Linked DNA regions of Drosophila melanogaster. The protein of the gene in region 1 purifies or fractionates together with the protein of each later gene. This does not show direct contact. Each region holds a gene or a part of one and is shown in the gene's direction. Other genes may lie near its edges. The genes, in order: CG10912, CG5577 and CG30281.

The links.
Region 2: the proteins of CG10912 (region 1) and CG5577 purify together in Drosophila melanogaster (affinity purification with mass spectrometry, with the first as the bait; one large-scale study listed by BioGRID). This does not show direct contact.
Region 3: the proteins of CG10912 (region 1) and CG30281 purify together in Drosophila melanogaster (affinity purification with mass spectrometry, with the first as the bait; one large-scale study listed by BioGRID). This does not show direct contact.

Annotation. Positions count from the first base shown.
Region 1 is NT_033778.4:18,054,667-18,059,264, reverse strand, and holds CG10912 (uncharacterized protein), read left to right. Parts: upstream 1-2,199; 5' UTR 2,200-2,235; coding exon 2,236-2,613; intron 2,614-2,705; coding exon 2,706-3,143; 3' UTR 3,144-3,201; downstream 3,202-4,598.
Region 2 is NT_037436.4:17,838,150-17,844,594, reverse strand, and holds CG5577 (uncharacterized protein), read left to right. Parts: upstream 1-3,167; 5' UTR 3,168-3,211; coding exon 3,212-3,308; intron 3,309-3,871; coding exon 3,872-4,559; intron 4,560-4,612; coding exon 4,613-4,775; 3' UTR 4,776-5,917; downstream 5,918-6,445. Other genes in the region: MED19 (mediator complex subunit 19), read left to right, coding at 1-341; CG5567 (uncharacterized protein), read left to right, coding at 1,179-1,320, 2,038-2,888; Grd (glycine receptor), read right to left, coding at 5,918-6,445.
Region 3 is NT_033778.4:22,112,654-22,117,410, forward strand, and holds CG30281 (uncharacterized protein), read left to right. Parts: upstream 1-2,343; 5' UTR 2,344-2,357; coding exon 2,358-2,470; intron 2,471-2,524; coding exon 2,525-2,595; intron 2,596-2,671; coding exon 2,672-3,179; intron 3,180-3,235; coding exon 3,236-3,419; 3' UTR 3,420-3,536; downstream 3,537-4,757. Other genes in the region: CG30280 (uncharacterized protein), read left to right, coding at 944-1,012, 1,078-1,139, 1,191-1,766, 1,829-1,988.

The DNA of each region.
Region 1 (4,598 bases):
GTCAAGTTATCAAGTTTCCTGGACACTTTACCTATTTATGGCTAGCAATAGTTAATTAGTCACTTAGGCAATGCCTTCTTTTTCTTCTATCGTCGCGTTGACAGTGCTAAGTTAGTGGGTGTTATAAATTAAATTATAGCTAATACGCTAGGTGATTTTTCTTTGGGGTGACTCAAGTGCAAGGCAGACGAGTGAGTTACCAACCAACCAACCAGCCGGCTGACAGGAAGCAGACGCGGAGTGGCATTGGAAATTGTTTTACTACGGGGCCATTTACAAAACAATTACACTTATTTGTGCGCCATTTAACAGCTCGTCCCTCCACTGACAATCCATCAGCGGCTGTTTCTACCCATTCAGCGAAACTCTGAGGAACTCAAGGCAACCGAAAGCCGGCTGACGCTACTCGACTTCATTTCGTCCTGACAGCTTTGGAGTGGAAATGAATACTCGGGCCAGTCGATCCACTGGGCGAAAAATAATACGAAAACAAAAAAAATATCCTAAGGCCAATTGAATTAGCAGTATAATCTATTTTAAACACGACTTCTTCATATAAATAGTAGTATCTACCTCCACTTAACTCTTTTCTAAGTCCTAATTTTCTCAATACTTATCAAAGCAAAACCAAATTTGTTCCAGTGTTCCTATTTCCGTTGCAGAACAGTTGCTCCAAAAGGACTGCTTAGTATGCAGCTCAGCAAGGAGAAGAGCCAGCGACAGCTGACGAACTGCATACCTGCAATGGCAGGTAAATAAAATTAATCATACGCCCCGTGGAACGTTAGTGTTCATTTTAAAAAATTTGCCCAATTCAATTATTAACTTCGTTGTGTTGAAATTTATGATTTCATAAACTGTAATTATCTATTTGTATCGCAAATATATATCAAGAATTTTGTTATTCGGTTAACAATGAATTCTATTTGCAGAAATGAGGCAATATTCAATTATTTTGTGCATTATTCATAATCTCAAGAGCAATTATAATTGGTCAATCCTTTGTGTGGCAAAGGAAATAAAAAATAAATCGAATTCTTGGAACGGTCGTAGCCAGTTAAATTAAAAGTTGGAGGAATATCTTCCGTTACTCTTTCCCAACCACACACACTTCAAACCAGAGCTGTGGTATGATAAGAGGCATGGTGATCGAAATGATTAATGTGGCACAAATAAATTAATTGCCATTTAATAATAGTATATAAAATTGGTGTAAACAAGATACCCGTTGAGATAAAGAATGCTTCAGTAAAGAATAAAATATATCTCGTTTTATGAACTTGGTAATTTAGTTGAAAATTGGTAATTACACATGGGTGGGGTGCCATCACGACCTTACCAACGAATAGCAGTAACCCTAATTTTGAACTTTCAGGAATTTAAATGTCAAGTTTGAATAATCCGTTAAAAATATGGTTTGTTTATGCCATTCACGTGATATGTGTTCACTTCATCAATTTACTTAATTTTAACCTGACATATTTAATTCTTCAGTATCAGCACCAGTGTTATTTTGTTTTAAAGTCTTGTGCGTTTAAATTATTTTGGATAGTCAAATTTAAAATAAAATAAAATTATTCTTTATTATTATTATTTATTATGAAGTATTAATTAAGTATTAAGTATTAATTATTGGCGGCTTAAACTTACTAGATAAAAATTTAAATAACTTAATTTCCAAATCGTTATAAACATAATTTTAGAAATATAAAGACCATAAAATTAGAAGAAGAAAAATTCTAAAACTCTGTTTACTTATTTACGCGGGAGTCCCCTTCTTACTTTTCACGGCCCAAAGCTTAGTCATTCCCATTCAAGGTGCTTTTTGATGGTTATTATCTGGGTTATGCAAACCTGACTGCGGCAAGTGCCGAATAATAATGATATCAGAGGAATTTTCGCATTAAAAACTCGAATATTATTAGATTTACATTCATTCCGGCGGGGTAACAATTGAATGACCTCCAATCAATGACCGATTTAAAATGGAACGTCTCAAAACAGATACCCACCGCCATTTTGTCGACGTATGATTGTTTACAGATTTTCGAAGGAAATGAAAGTAGACCAAGTCCGGTGTGTAGGGTGAGTGGCATACTGATATGTCTTATCTGCATCAAGATAGGAGAAAAGCCCCTGCGATCGCTAAGTCTGTGGCACCCAAAGACTTGGCATAAATGCCTTGGCCAGTAGCCAGTTAGAAGCAAGTTTCAAACGAACCTCACAACGAGCAACATGCAGTCACATCTCATCGCCATCCTGCTGGCCACCGTGGCCATTGGCTCCTGCATCGCGAATCCCAACCTCATCTCTGGTCCTTCGCGAATTCTTGAGATAATGAGCGCCACCAGTGATATCCAGCGTAATAATCCACAACTGACCGTAGAATGTTTTGACTACTATAATGACGTATTCAAAACCGAGTATGCGGAGTATGTGGATGAGTACAATCTGTGCGTCGATAAGTATGATGGCGGTTATGAACAGGTTCTGGAACAGTACAATTCCGTTGTCTGGGACCTCAGCAATTCCACCTTCGAATCCTGCATGTTCCTGCTGGACTGCGATAAACAGAATAACAGCGAAAATGCTCTATCCTGCTACTCCACTGAGGTAAGTGAATAGTGATTTGATTTTTTAAATACAATTATTTGATAAGTCTTATTTTGTAAAATTAAAACATTCAAATTCAAATTAATTTTCAGGGTCCGACATATTCCAAGCAGTTGTCGAATGTGGCAGCCAATGCTTCGGTCTCGGTCAGTTCACTGCGTCAGCAGGTCGAAACACTGGTGTTCACCCGTGACCAATGCTGTTCTGCAACGTCCAGGAACTATGAGATCCGCTCCGGCGAGTCCTACGAAGATCTTCAGAAGTGCCTGAGCGGTGAGAATCCTGTGCCGGAAAGAAGCACCACCACTACCAGTTCCAGCTCCAGCTCCAGCACCAGCACCACCGCCGCCAACCCCACTACTACCACCACGACCCCATCTCCTTCAACCACCACCTCATCGTCTTCCACCTCCTCAACAACGAGATCTCCATCGACAGTTGCGCATTTTAGTTCCGTTGAAAACAGCAGTGGCAACAGCCAGCACCGATTTCCAAGAAGACTGGACAATATTTTCAAACATATTCTTTAAGGGTTGAACAATATAAAAGTCAATATCAATAAACTAAAAAGGAACATTGCAAAAAGACAATATTAATAGTGAACAATTAATAAAGTAAACTAATATTAATACTCATTTTTTGGGCTATAACTAGGGGTATAGCTAATGTTTAATGAAAAGTTTGGACTTACAATATTTTGTGGCATATCTTACAATTAAAATGAGATTGTGCTCTAAATAATGTTAAAGAAACTAAACACTTAACTTACAACTATATTTTATATGAGTTGATACAACTGTTTCAATAGCCATTTAAAATTCCAAGCTAGAATAATTTATTTGCCAAGAATACTCTTATCTTCGTCTGAATGGCTTTTTATCCGTTTTCAGTAAACTTCTGATGCAATTGAAAAACAGGCCTAGGGCCTTTGAGAAATGGCAATGGCTTAAGGATTGGCTCCAATCCTTAAACTAAACAGATGGAATCAAGTGATGAAGTCAATCTGGAAACTCAAACGAGAAACTAAAACCCATTGCAACTTACTTAATTAACGGACCGATCTAGGTGGAAAACCGAGTAGGAAACCAACCTGATGCGATGCAAATAAAACTTTTTGCATTTGCCATCAGTCCAAGTTTATCAAAGATCCAGCAGGACACGGACTGGGGGGAGGGGGGGGGGTTGGCATTAGCGGGGAATGGAAGGACAAACATGTAAATCAGCCTGGGAAAACTTTACCCCGGGCAGGACAAATAAAAAGGGCGAGGAAAAAGGAAATCTAGGACGGGACACTTTAAGGTAGCGGTAACAGTTAAATAAACATCAGAGCCATTTTCCTAGCGGTGTTTTTTTTTATTCAATTTTAATTGCATGTGGTGTTATTGTTTGTACAGCTGCCGGTGGCGGCCTTGTTGTCACTGCAATTAAAACAAATTAGAAGCGCTGTGCAAAGGGGAGAAGATTTCACTTTGCCAAAATAAAGCCAATAACTTGGCAAGTCCCAGTATCCTGCGTCCTTGCCGTCTTGCAGCCTGCCTATTGGTTGGTTGGCATTGCGATACCCAAAACACACACACACACACTGACTCAAAGAAGAACACGCAATTAAGATATGCAAATTAGAAGATGTCCTTGCTCCGGCAGCTCCTGTATACCTGATGGCATCTTCACTCCACTGGGCTCTGATAATTATGCAGAGGTATGCAATGGAGACGGCTTTAATCTTGGCCAACCATCTCAACGATAGATTTTTATTTTGGGCAACAATATCGGGTGAAGTGAGTCATTCAACTTTTTCAAATGTAATTATTGTGTTGACCGACAAGCTCTTTTGATAAGCTTGAAATGTGTATTGTTCGGTCATTAGTCATAGAAATTATACCAAAATCAAGTAATCAATCTGTGCCCGAATATCGACTCAGAAATTAATTGATAACGAATTGGGAAATCCTAAAAGCCGCGGTCTATAATTGTTACTTCCCAGT
Region 2 (6,445 bases), on another chromosome or scaffold:
AACCGGGCGTGGGCTTGCTGCCCGGAGGAGCGAGCTTGGGCGGAGCAGCGGGTGTAATGGGAGCCACTAGTCTGGGATCGCTGGGAGGAGGACCTGGAGGACCCGGGCTGTCCAGCCTTAGTGCCAGTATGGGACCTGGCGTTGTGGGGAACATGAATAGCTTCTCCTCATCGATGCAGATGCAGCAGCAACAGCAGATGCCCATGCAGCAACAGCAGATGTCAAGTGGCGGTCTGCTGGGATCTGTGCTGGGCACTAGTGGCGGTCCAGGTGGCGGCGGCGGAGGAGGAGGTGGTGGCGGGGGCGGCGTCGGTGGGAGTCTGCTTATGTCGCAGTTTTAGGCAGGATCCTTTAGCAAAATAGACTTGGCTCATTACCTCTCATCAGCAGACGCACCCCAAATGGCAACATAAAAAAAACGCAGAGGGCCTCGGTCCTCTACATGCAATTTTCTCGATATCGTTTCGTGTCCTAGTTATTAATTTATGATTATTGTAAATGTAAAATAGTTTATTTCTGTAATTAGCCAACAATTTTTCGTTCGTTTTCGCGCTAGCTTAATGAGATTTATTTAAACGCAAGTTATGGTACAAAACGCAAGAACGTTTTCGCTCTCGATTCCAGCTCTTCCCTCCACACAAACACACCCCTCGCCACGCCGCCACAAAAACGCTGCTTTGCAACCTCTTTAATTTGCTTACCAACCTTGTAACGTGTGTAGGGTCAGTATTTCAATTAAATTTCTGCAATGGTTTGTTCTTCCAGCAAGTTTATAAACACAAAAGAAAGCTGAGATTCAACAAAATAAAAATGCCTGTACTATAAGTAATTAATTTTAGTGATTAGGCACATAAAACAATAAACAAGCATAAAAATGATCAAAGTGTGTGTTTACAATAGTTTGGGGAGCTTAGTTCATTTTTCGAATATAAGCATTTGTTGCACAGAAGTTCTGCTTCCAAGGAGCCCTTAAATTCAAATTTGGCGCCAAACACTTGTTAGCACTCTGTTGACTTTAACATGGCGCATTAACAGCTACGCTGAAATCTGACAGATAGTAACATAGCCTTAACAGGCGCCAACAGCTGCTTTAATTCTCAGGGAGTTTCTCGCAATCGAGAGTCAATTAATAAATTAAAAGTGATGTGTATAAGATAGTCGTCGCTGCAAAGCCATAGATGAGTTGTAACTTCGCCAGATTTTCGCGACAGGCAGCTATCAACATGTACAAGCAGTCGTGCACCAATCTCCTGGAATTATCCTCCGCCAAGGTGACCGAGTGGCTAGCAGGCTTCGACAGTGTAATAACCGACTGCGATGGTAAGTCGGTGGTGGGGATGAGATACTACTAACTCGCACCCACCCAGGATTCCCCCCAGGAAGTTGCGTTACATAAAGATATGTGTATACCACATTCTGCCCAAATACGTCAGCAGCCAATAGTTTCTGTATTGTGGCTGCGTCGTTTATTTCAATGTCAAAGAGTGAAGTGCGTGATATGGCGGGAAGTCGACTTTCGGATGCCCTCATATCTTGTTAATCATCGTTATATTTAGTAAAGAGTAAAGCAGTAAAGAGCCGTTTGATAAATTCCCTAATGCTCATAGTGATGAGCCCTAAGTTTATTAATATTAGACAATCTTATCAATTCAAGGAAATCGTTATTATATACGCAATATCAAAAGTTGTGTTCAACCCCATTATTTATTAATTTTATGCAATAATGCCTTCTTTAATCATAACAGCTTTTATTTCTTTTCGTTTATGTATCTTTGCGAAGTTACCAATTTACTTAATTGGAATTAATTTCAAACTGTCCTCTTTGCCTTTGAATGATTAATTTATCAATTTTAGAAATAAATTACCAACAATATGAGTATACTTTTTGTAGATATTGAGAAATCAATAACGCCCTTTATAAAACTAGCAATGGCATTAATAAAACTAACAACTACAAAGTGAGAACCTATTTAGCACCGTTCTTTTTTTAATTTTAAGAAAATTCTTCTACAATATTAATCCATTTTTTCACATCAGGTGTCCTTTGGATCTATGGCCAGGCCCTGGAGGGCTCTGTGGATGTGATGAACCAGTTGAAGGGTATGGGAAAGTCGATCTACTTTTGCACTAACAACTCGACGAAGACCCGGTCGGAACTTCTCAAGAAAGGCGTCGAACTGGGCTTTCATATCAAGGAGAATGGCATTATATCAACGGCCCATGCCACAGCTGCGTACCTGAAACGACGGAACTTCAGCAAGCGGGTATTTGTGATCGGAAGCGAGGGAATCACCAAGGAACTGGACGCCGTGGGCATTCAGCACACTGAGGTGGGCCCGGAACCCATGAAGGGATCGCTGGCCGAGTTCATGGCACAGCATTTAAAACTGGACACGGACATCGGAGCCGTGGTCGTTGGCTTCGACGAACACTTCAGTTTTCCCAAGATGATGAAGGCCGCTTCCTACCTAAACGACCCGGAGTGTCTGTTCGTGGCTACCAATACGGATGAGCGTTTCCCCATGCCCAATATGATAGTACCAGGCAGCGGGAGCTTCGTGCGGGCCATTCAAACCTGTGCGGAGCGGGATCCTGTAGTGATCGGGAAGCCGAATCCTGCCATTTGTGAGTCTCTGGTCACGGAGAAGAAGATCGATCCATCGAGAACTCTGATGATCGGAGATCGAGCCAATACGGACATACTTCTTGGGTTCAATTGCGGCTTCCAGACCCTGCTTGTAGGTTCCGGAATCCATCAGCTGAAGGACGTGGAGCGTTGGAAGTTGAGCCAGGATCCCGAGGAGAAGAAGCTCATACCAGACGTGTACCTGCCCAAGTTGGGAGATCTGTTGCCGTCGATCGTGAACAGCCTGACGGACTTGAAATGAATCAGTAATCAGTAAATAGTACGGACATGTGTTTGTATAGATTTTACATTTAACTTCAATAGACAGGAAAGATTATTAATACTTAACGCAAATTTATAGTGCAATTTATACCACAGAACAAAGAATATTTAAATAAATTCAAAAGCATTTTGTGAGACGGATGATTTAACCGATATGCCCGACTCAATTTGTTTTTCCGAGCGAGCTTTGTGCGAAAGGGAGATAGCAGATTTTCCCCAATCACCGTGAATCGAAATCAGCCAGCCCGTCGCCGTCGATTTAGTTGAGTCGCAAGCATTTGGCGAAGCGGTCTACGAAGCAAAATGTCCAGAGGCGGTGCTATCGACTTGACCGGCCTATCCGAGGAGCAGGTGAGCGAGTGGCTCCAAAGTTTCGACACGGTTCTCTGCGACGGCGACGGTGAGTCTCAAGGGCGGCTAAGGTGCCACAGAGAGAGGGTTCATTGGGCTTGTGAGTGCTGCTATGGAGCTTTTACCAGAGTTGTCGCTTCACTGAAAAAACAGAGTATAAAATATCGATGGTAATTTACATGGGTAAGGGGAAAAGCTTGGCGATCGCGGTAGCTAAAAGTTTACATTTCATCGGCCTGCTACATCGATTGTTACTGTTATTCATTTTGTAAGTGGATAACTTTAAACGTAAAATCGTTAATAATTAGAAAAAGTTGATAAGGCTTAACGCTGCTGAAATCATTTTACATTTTTAGGAATATATTTATACCTGATCAATAGGAATATGTTTATACCTGAAAATCTCTCTGATCTCTCGCAGATCATTCCAATTTAATGTATAAATTTCCCATGTACTATTGGGCTTACCAAACAGAAATTTCGTTCGTAATTATTTTAAAATAAAGCCAAAACTCGTGTTAATTCCAATATTATTTAGTTACTTTATAAAATATATCTCTCATTTCAAACCTCTTCAAATGACACCAAATCAAATATCCATTAAACGCACAGGCACCATATGGCAGGATGACACGGCCATCGCTGGTGCTCCGGATGTGGTGAATGCCCTGCAGGATCGATTTGACAAAAAAGTTTACCTGATTACCAACAATGGCCTAAAGACGCGACAGGAGCTCTTTGAGCGCTCCCAGCGCCTTGGCTTCCATTTACCCAGCGACCGACACATCATTTCGCCCACGGCGGCCATCGCCGACTATCTGGTTGGGAGTCCGAAGTTCGACAGGACCCGGCACAAGGTCTATGTGGTGGGCAATGCGGCCATTGCGCGGGAATTAAGGCAGCGCGGAATCGACAGCTACGGAGCCGGCGGAACAGATGAACTGCCTCCGGGCGACAAATGGCCGGACTTTGTGACACGCGAGTTTGGGAACCCAGAGGCGGCGAAGGACGTGGGTGCCGTGGTGGTCGGCTGGGATGAGTACTTTAGCTACTGCAAGATGGCGCGCGCCTGTCACATCCTCTGCAGTAATCCCGACGCCGCCTTTTTGGTCACCAACCGGGATGCCGTGCACAAGTATCCATCCTTTTGTATCCCCGGCACTGGGGCCTTTGTGGCCGGAATCGAGGCATGTTCGGAGCGTGAAGCCCTCGAGATGGGCAAGCCAAATCCATTGGTCCTTGAGCCCTTTATCAAGGCCGAGGGACTACGTACCGAGCGAACGCTTATGATTGGTGACTGGTATGCGGGATTAACACATCCTTTCAATCTTTCCTAATGAGTTTCTCCCGTAGCCTCAAAATAGATGTCGGTTTCGCCAGCAATTGTGGCATGCTATCGCTTCTGGTGGGCACGGGTCGTTACAATAATCTCTCGGATGTCCGGCTGGAAAAAGACAGGCTGCCCCAGCCAGACTTTTATCTGCCCCGTCTGGGCGATCTGCTGAACATTTTGTGAGCCATAAATCCATGGGACTCTCGCGCAGCAATCTACTCGTTATCAACTTCTTAATTCGACTTTTATTTGGCCTTAGTTGATGTGTTTACACATAGTTGTACATATTGTATCTGCCGGCAAGTACAATAACATTCTCTGATGGATACTTTTTTTACATATATAGAGTGGTTGAGAAATTGCTGGGTCTGAAAGTTATCCATGAACAAAACTAGCTAATAAATTTTGGAAAGACGACAATGCATATTGCACAAATAAATCACTAACCATTTGCGAATATTCATTTTTATGTCCGTCCCCAAATAATTTTCAGGCCCAATAACTTTTCTTTGAATTAACAATATAGGCTGAGTGACTTATTAAAATACTAGCTTAACCTTCTATTACTTGCCGGGTCAGAAAAGCAGAGACGGCAATTTCTTACTCGTTCCTATATCTTGGTGATCCCATGTAAAAGTTGTAATTTGCAATGAACTAAACAAATTGCTTAAATAAGTGCAAGTTCCTTGTGCTGTGACTTGCAAATCAATTATCAATCAACGTTAACTATTTAAGACACACACATAATCGAAACTATACAACTTATTGGTTAGCTGTACAACAAATTTACAGGACACCCATCGATGTGAGCTGCTAATTGTCAAAACAAAGCAAGCAAGTATCACAGAAGTTATATTTTTGGCGGTTTGCTTCCGTGTAAAATTGAAACAATCAAACACCTGTTTTCGAAAGTTTTTTACGATATTTTGACTGTTGAAGCACGACATTTTCGTGAGTGTCCGTTTTAACAAGTCCTCTGATATGTTAGAGTTGAGTTCTGTTTTCTGTACTTTAGCAATTTAGCGCGAAAAGAAATCCCATAAAGCGGTGTCACATTTGGTAGCAAATCAGAATAAGAGCGTAACTGAATCTGAAAAGTTAAACCCATCCCCTGCTTTTCCCAATCCCCCAACTGATTTTCCCCCCACGCCTTGTCTTAAGCTGATTTTAAACGATGCATGTGCAAAGATTTTATAGAATCGCAGTGTTTAAATTCCGCGACTCTGCGTATGCATCGCTTTCCATCAGCTTTAGTTGTAAGTTTGCCGCCGGCGATCGCTTAATGATTTCTTCGAGGACCCTGTCTAAATTGCTAAAAGGTAACATCAGGTGCTCGCATCCGGCGTGTTGGCCAAAATCCTTGAGCTCCTCGACAAGTAGCCGTACCAGTAGAACACGTTGATAAGGATGAATAGCAGTGGGAAGACGATCCTCGAGGCGCGATCGATCTTCGACACGGAATTGTACTGTGGCGTTCGTTTGCCCTTCCTTCGGGCCTCCATCTCCTCGCGTCGATAGTAGGACATCCTGCGGCGACCTCCAGTTGGAGGACTAATCCGAGCAGCCTGTGCAGCAGCTTGTGCCGCCGCAGCTGCCGCAGACGTGGTCGGTGCTTCGTTGGCCCTTAGCTGCGTCTGCTCGTCATCCTCATCCTCGTCGGAGTCGGCACGTGGCGGCTTTCTTCTTCGCCGCCAGTCGAAGAGACCCAGAAGCTTCATACTCCACAGACCATGACGCCTGTTCCGGGGCCTCCGATTCCTGGAGGTTAGCATGCCCAGCCGAGTGGGAGGCGGCGGCATGCTAATAGCGCACATGGACAGCGGAATGACTTCGTAGATCTTGGACTCTGTGCT
Region 3 (4,757 bases), 4.1 Mb from region 1:
ATGGCAATTTTATCTCTGCCTCAAGTACTTTTTGCTTTGAACTACGCTTCAATCTCATTTTCGATGGATACGAATCTTCGGGCCCTAAGAAATTGCCAGTTCTGCGTCCGCCTCTGCGAAGCTTTAGCTTAAGACTGGCTAACACTTTTGCATCGATCAAGCGACTTCCAAAGCCGAGACCGCTGTCACCACCCACACACCATAACACTCACACATGCTGTGTGTTTATAATACAATTTCTATACTTATTATTTATGTCTTGTTTTCTGTTGTCTTCAGATTGACGCCCCGATAAAGATACAAAATGGATGTGGAGGCACCGAAGCCTGAAATTCTCTAGTTTCTACAATTTCTTAAGAGTCACCAACAACTCAAAGCTCGGTTTTTAGATTTCACATTCCTAATTGGCCTAAAATATGAGCTTATGTTTACCAATGAAACAAATCCATTGGGCGATAATTTAATATTTAATATATATTTTCAACATTTACCCTTATCCCAATAAAACTAGTAATATTTATTATGCCCCTATGGTTGAAGCCACAATGGAAAATTTCAAGCTCAAACAGCGCGTAAAGCGGCACAGTTTTAGCTTCACTGGGGCAACCCACTTGAAAACCAGGCTATCCCACGTGATTCGAGCAAATCATAAATGTTGTGAATGTGTTGCCTTTGTTTTAATCACATTTATGGCTGTTTTCAATTTAAATTTCTTTAGCTTTATTTCGAACCACCCTTCAAAATAGCATTAAATTCACAGTAAGAGTTCCGTGAATGGAAGTGGCTCCAAATAATTATCAAGAAATCATAATCAAGTTATTTGAATGGCAACTGATAAGAAACGGCACAAAAACAAAGCCAACAATTATTTCCCTTTGTGTGCAATAAAATGTTTAGAAACGATCCAATCTCATTATATTCTCATCGATTAGCTGACAAAATCATGTTTCCCGGCGTCCCAGTTTTTTCCGTTTGCATTGCACTTAGTGTGATGATTTTTTGTCATGCGGAGGTAAGTTAAATAGGCGCTCAAAAAGTATACCAATACTTAATCGAAATAAACAAAACCCTCGACAGACGCTGAATTTGTTTGGAAACTTGGAGGCTATTTATGAACAGGCAGAAAATGCACTCTCAACGTAAGTTTCAAACAAAGAAAGTAGGCCTAAGCTTACTGTTTTACTCCCCAGTTTACAAGAATCACTTTTGCAACTTGAAACCAATGGCACTCTAAACACATCCCCTGATGTGATTTATCCAACTTCCTGTCTGACTTCTGGGGATCTTGAAAATGGCTTGCACACCCTGAAAGTTCCAGGCTTGAGTCCCTTTCAAGTGTATTGCGAAAATCAGTTGGCTGGACCCGGTTGGATTGTAATTCAAAAGAGGTTCAGTGGAAATCTGAGCTTCTTTCGCAATTGGAAGGAGTACAAGAACGGATTCGGCAATCTAATGGACGAGTACTTCCTCGGCCTCGAAAAGATTCGTGCCTTGACTGCCCTGGAGCCGCATGAGTTGTATGTACACCTGGAGGATTTCGATGATACAATTAAGCATGCGAAATTCGATGAATTTGCCATTGGAAACGAAGATGACGACTACGCCATGAATACACTGGGAAAATATTCGGGCACTGCGGGAGATTCCCTCCGCTCACACCGCAAAATGAAGTTCTCCACATATGATCGGGATAACGATCATGAGTTTAATAAGAACTGTGCATTTTACTATCTGGGAGGATGGTGGTACAACGCATGTCTGGACAGGTGAGATTACTGTCGGATAAACTTTCTCAAAACATAATCTCACAACTTTGTAATTATTCAAGCAACCTTAATGGTCAGTATATGCCGGGTGGGAAATACGAGGAGAGCTTGTTCGCCAGAGGAATGTGCTGGCGATCTTGGCGTGGCCACAACTACGGATACAGGGTAACCCAAATGATGATAAGACCCAAGTGCCGAATGATACCAGTGACTCAGCGGTGAATTTGGGCAAGGCGGTTTCACGAATATTGTTATTATTATTAGCTGTTCACTCCCTGTTGGTTTCAATGGCTTCGAGAACGTGAAAACAATTTGTTATGTACTTGATTAATATGCAAAGGTTGTTCCATTGAATCATCGCATTCTCGCCGAGCACATTAATCAGAATCTCAATTAGAACTGCGAAATATACTGTAATTCTCATGTTTAGTTGTCTCAACTTCCTGATCTACTACCGCTCAAGGCGAACTTGACCTACGATTTGTCAATGCAATTGATAAGTCAATCGAACTATATAGTATCGAAATTGATTTTCAAGCTATACAAATCTATCTAATCTAGATGGGTTGGAACAAGGCACGGAACAAGATCATGAATCTCTATTTGTTGTGTGTTTTAATTTTAAGCGGTGGCAGCCTCTTGTCTACTGCTCAAAGCAATAAATTGGATCTAGTCTATAAGAAAGCTGAAAGCATGGTTTCCAGGTTTGTGACACAAAACATCGTAGAGCTTTCAAGTTTAAACTATGTATTTTTCAGTTTAAAGATCAGGCTGGAAGAGCTAAAACAGAGCTACAAGGAAATCACAGAAGAAAGAGGCAGTCATGAGAGTAAGTTCGAGCTATTTTGGCTTCTGATCTTCTACAAAAATTAAACTAATTACATCTTTTCGTAATCGTCTAGCAGCAATTAACCCATCCTCCTGTCTAGCTGCCGGAATCAACAGTAATGGCATCCATGTTATTGAAGTTCCGGGTCTGGAACCTTTTCCGGTTTATTGTGACACTCGGCTGGCGGGATCTGGATGGACTGTAATTCAGCGACGACAGGATGGCAGTGAAAACTTCTATCGCTGTTGGGAGGAGTATAGCCAAGGATTTGGGGAGCTTAGCGGAGAATTCTTTATGGGTCTGGAAAAGCTACACTTCCTAACAACCGCGGAGCCTTACGAGCTGTTTGTCTATATGGAAGATTTCAATGGAGTGGTACATGATGCTCGATACGAGGATTTTGCCATTGGGAATGCATCAGCGTCCTATGCGCTATCTGTTTTGGGTAAATACTCGGGAGACGCCGGTGATTCGTTAAGGTACCACAAGGGAATGCCCTTCTCCACATTCGATCACGATGATACGGGTCACGGATGCGCCAGGATTTATGTGGGGGCCTGGTGGTATGATCAGTGCCAGAGGAGGTAAGAATATGATATGATATCTTCAAATGAAAAAGTCAAACAATTATCTTCGCTAGCAACCTCAATGGCCAATATTTGGAAGGAGGTCGATTCGAGCCGAAGATGTCGGGTCGTGGAATCACCTGGATGAGCTGGCGTGGCTACGACTACGGCTACAAATTCGTACAAATGATGATCAGACCCAAGTGTTCCAACAACCTACGAAGGCAGGGCATGCAAAATGCCTTAAACGCCCATTGAATTCCACACCGAAAACACCGAAGGGAAATCACTTTATTTCTTGATAAACACTATCAACATTTTGGGACTTTTATTTACAATTTGATAATAACCGTTTCCCGCTGATTTGTTTGTTGTATTATTAGTTGATTTTTTTTTTCAAACGCTGCTTTTCTACACGCGCACGTAAACAAATTGTTCTCTTCGTTTGCGAATAGTCTTTGTTTCTCGTCGAGGTTTTCGAGTGGAACGCGCGTTGCGCTCAGTTCGCAAGTTGAATTCCAACTGAGGAGCTCCAACGGCCGCGCATGCGATGCCCCAGCTATAAAATTCAAACAGAGAAACCGGAGGCCTGGGGAGAGTCTCCAGCGAGAAAGAGCCTCGGGTAATGAGAGATATCGGGGGGAGCGAAGTGAACACATTGATAAAAATATATTCGCGGGGGTCTGACGTCACAGATGGGAGCTCCATGGAGGCCTATGGAAATGAGTGACTGCGACAAAGACCAGAAGCCCAGACAAAGGGAGACCACAATTGCAGACGCAGACCACACTTGTCATCAGTTCCACTGATGATGATGAGAAGAATCTGCAGATCCGCAAAAGAAATGCTAAACCGTAAGACTGCCGGGCAGGGAAGGCGAAACGTGTGAAAAACCCCGACTGGGCTGTCTTGACTCATTATTGTGGCACAGTGGAACAGATCGGCTGGAAACCGGCAGCTCCTTAATTGCTGTCCACTGTGATCCCCTTCGCTGGCCTCCAGCGCAGATGATTCACTCAACTCAATCGCTTGATTCATCCAGACGGATTGTCGCTTAATTGAACAGCTGCTGCGGCGCTGGGAAAATTGGCCAGCGTTGGACGGAAGGGAAAATAGTATTACTATCTGTATTAAGCAATGAATTTAACATTAAACGTTAAAGAATTTTTGTATTTGAATTTTAATGTTTTTGAGCTTTAAATAAGAATGCTCTGGCTAAGATTTGATAATTTTGGACCGACTTCCTTTTACTCATTCATATTATACTCTTTACTCATCGTGTTAATATTTTGTTGAATTCTCGTTAAAAAGATAGCTTCCTTAGATTGACTTCCTCCAGTTTGTCTGACCATTGGCAAATATCTTGGGAGTTAAATAAAATGTTTGCTGGAAACGATGATTCATGGGCAGGCGACTTCGTTAGAAATGTGAAGCATAAGACCCAGGTATTTATAAAATTTCTATATCTTATCAAGAATTACTGACGGACAGACAGTGCGAAAAAATAAAAGTATTTATTTAAGAACTTAAGAAATGAACATACATGCTCAAAAACAAATTTCAAGGGGACATATTTGAAGGCAGTAAGTTTCATGA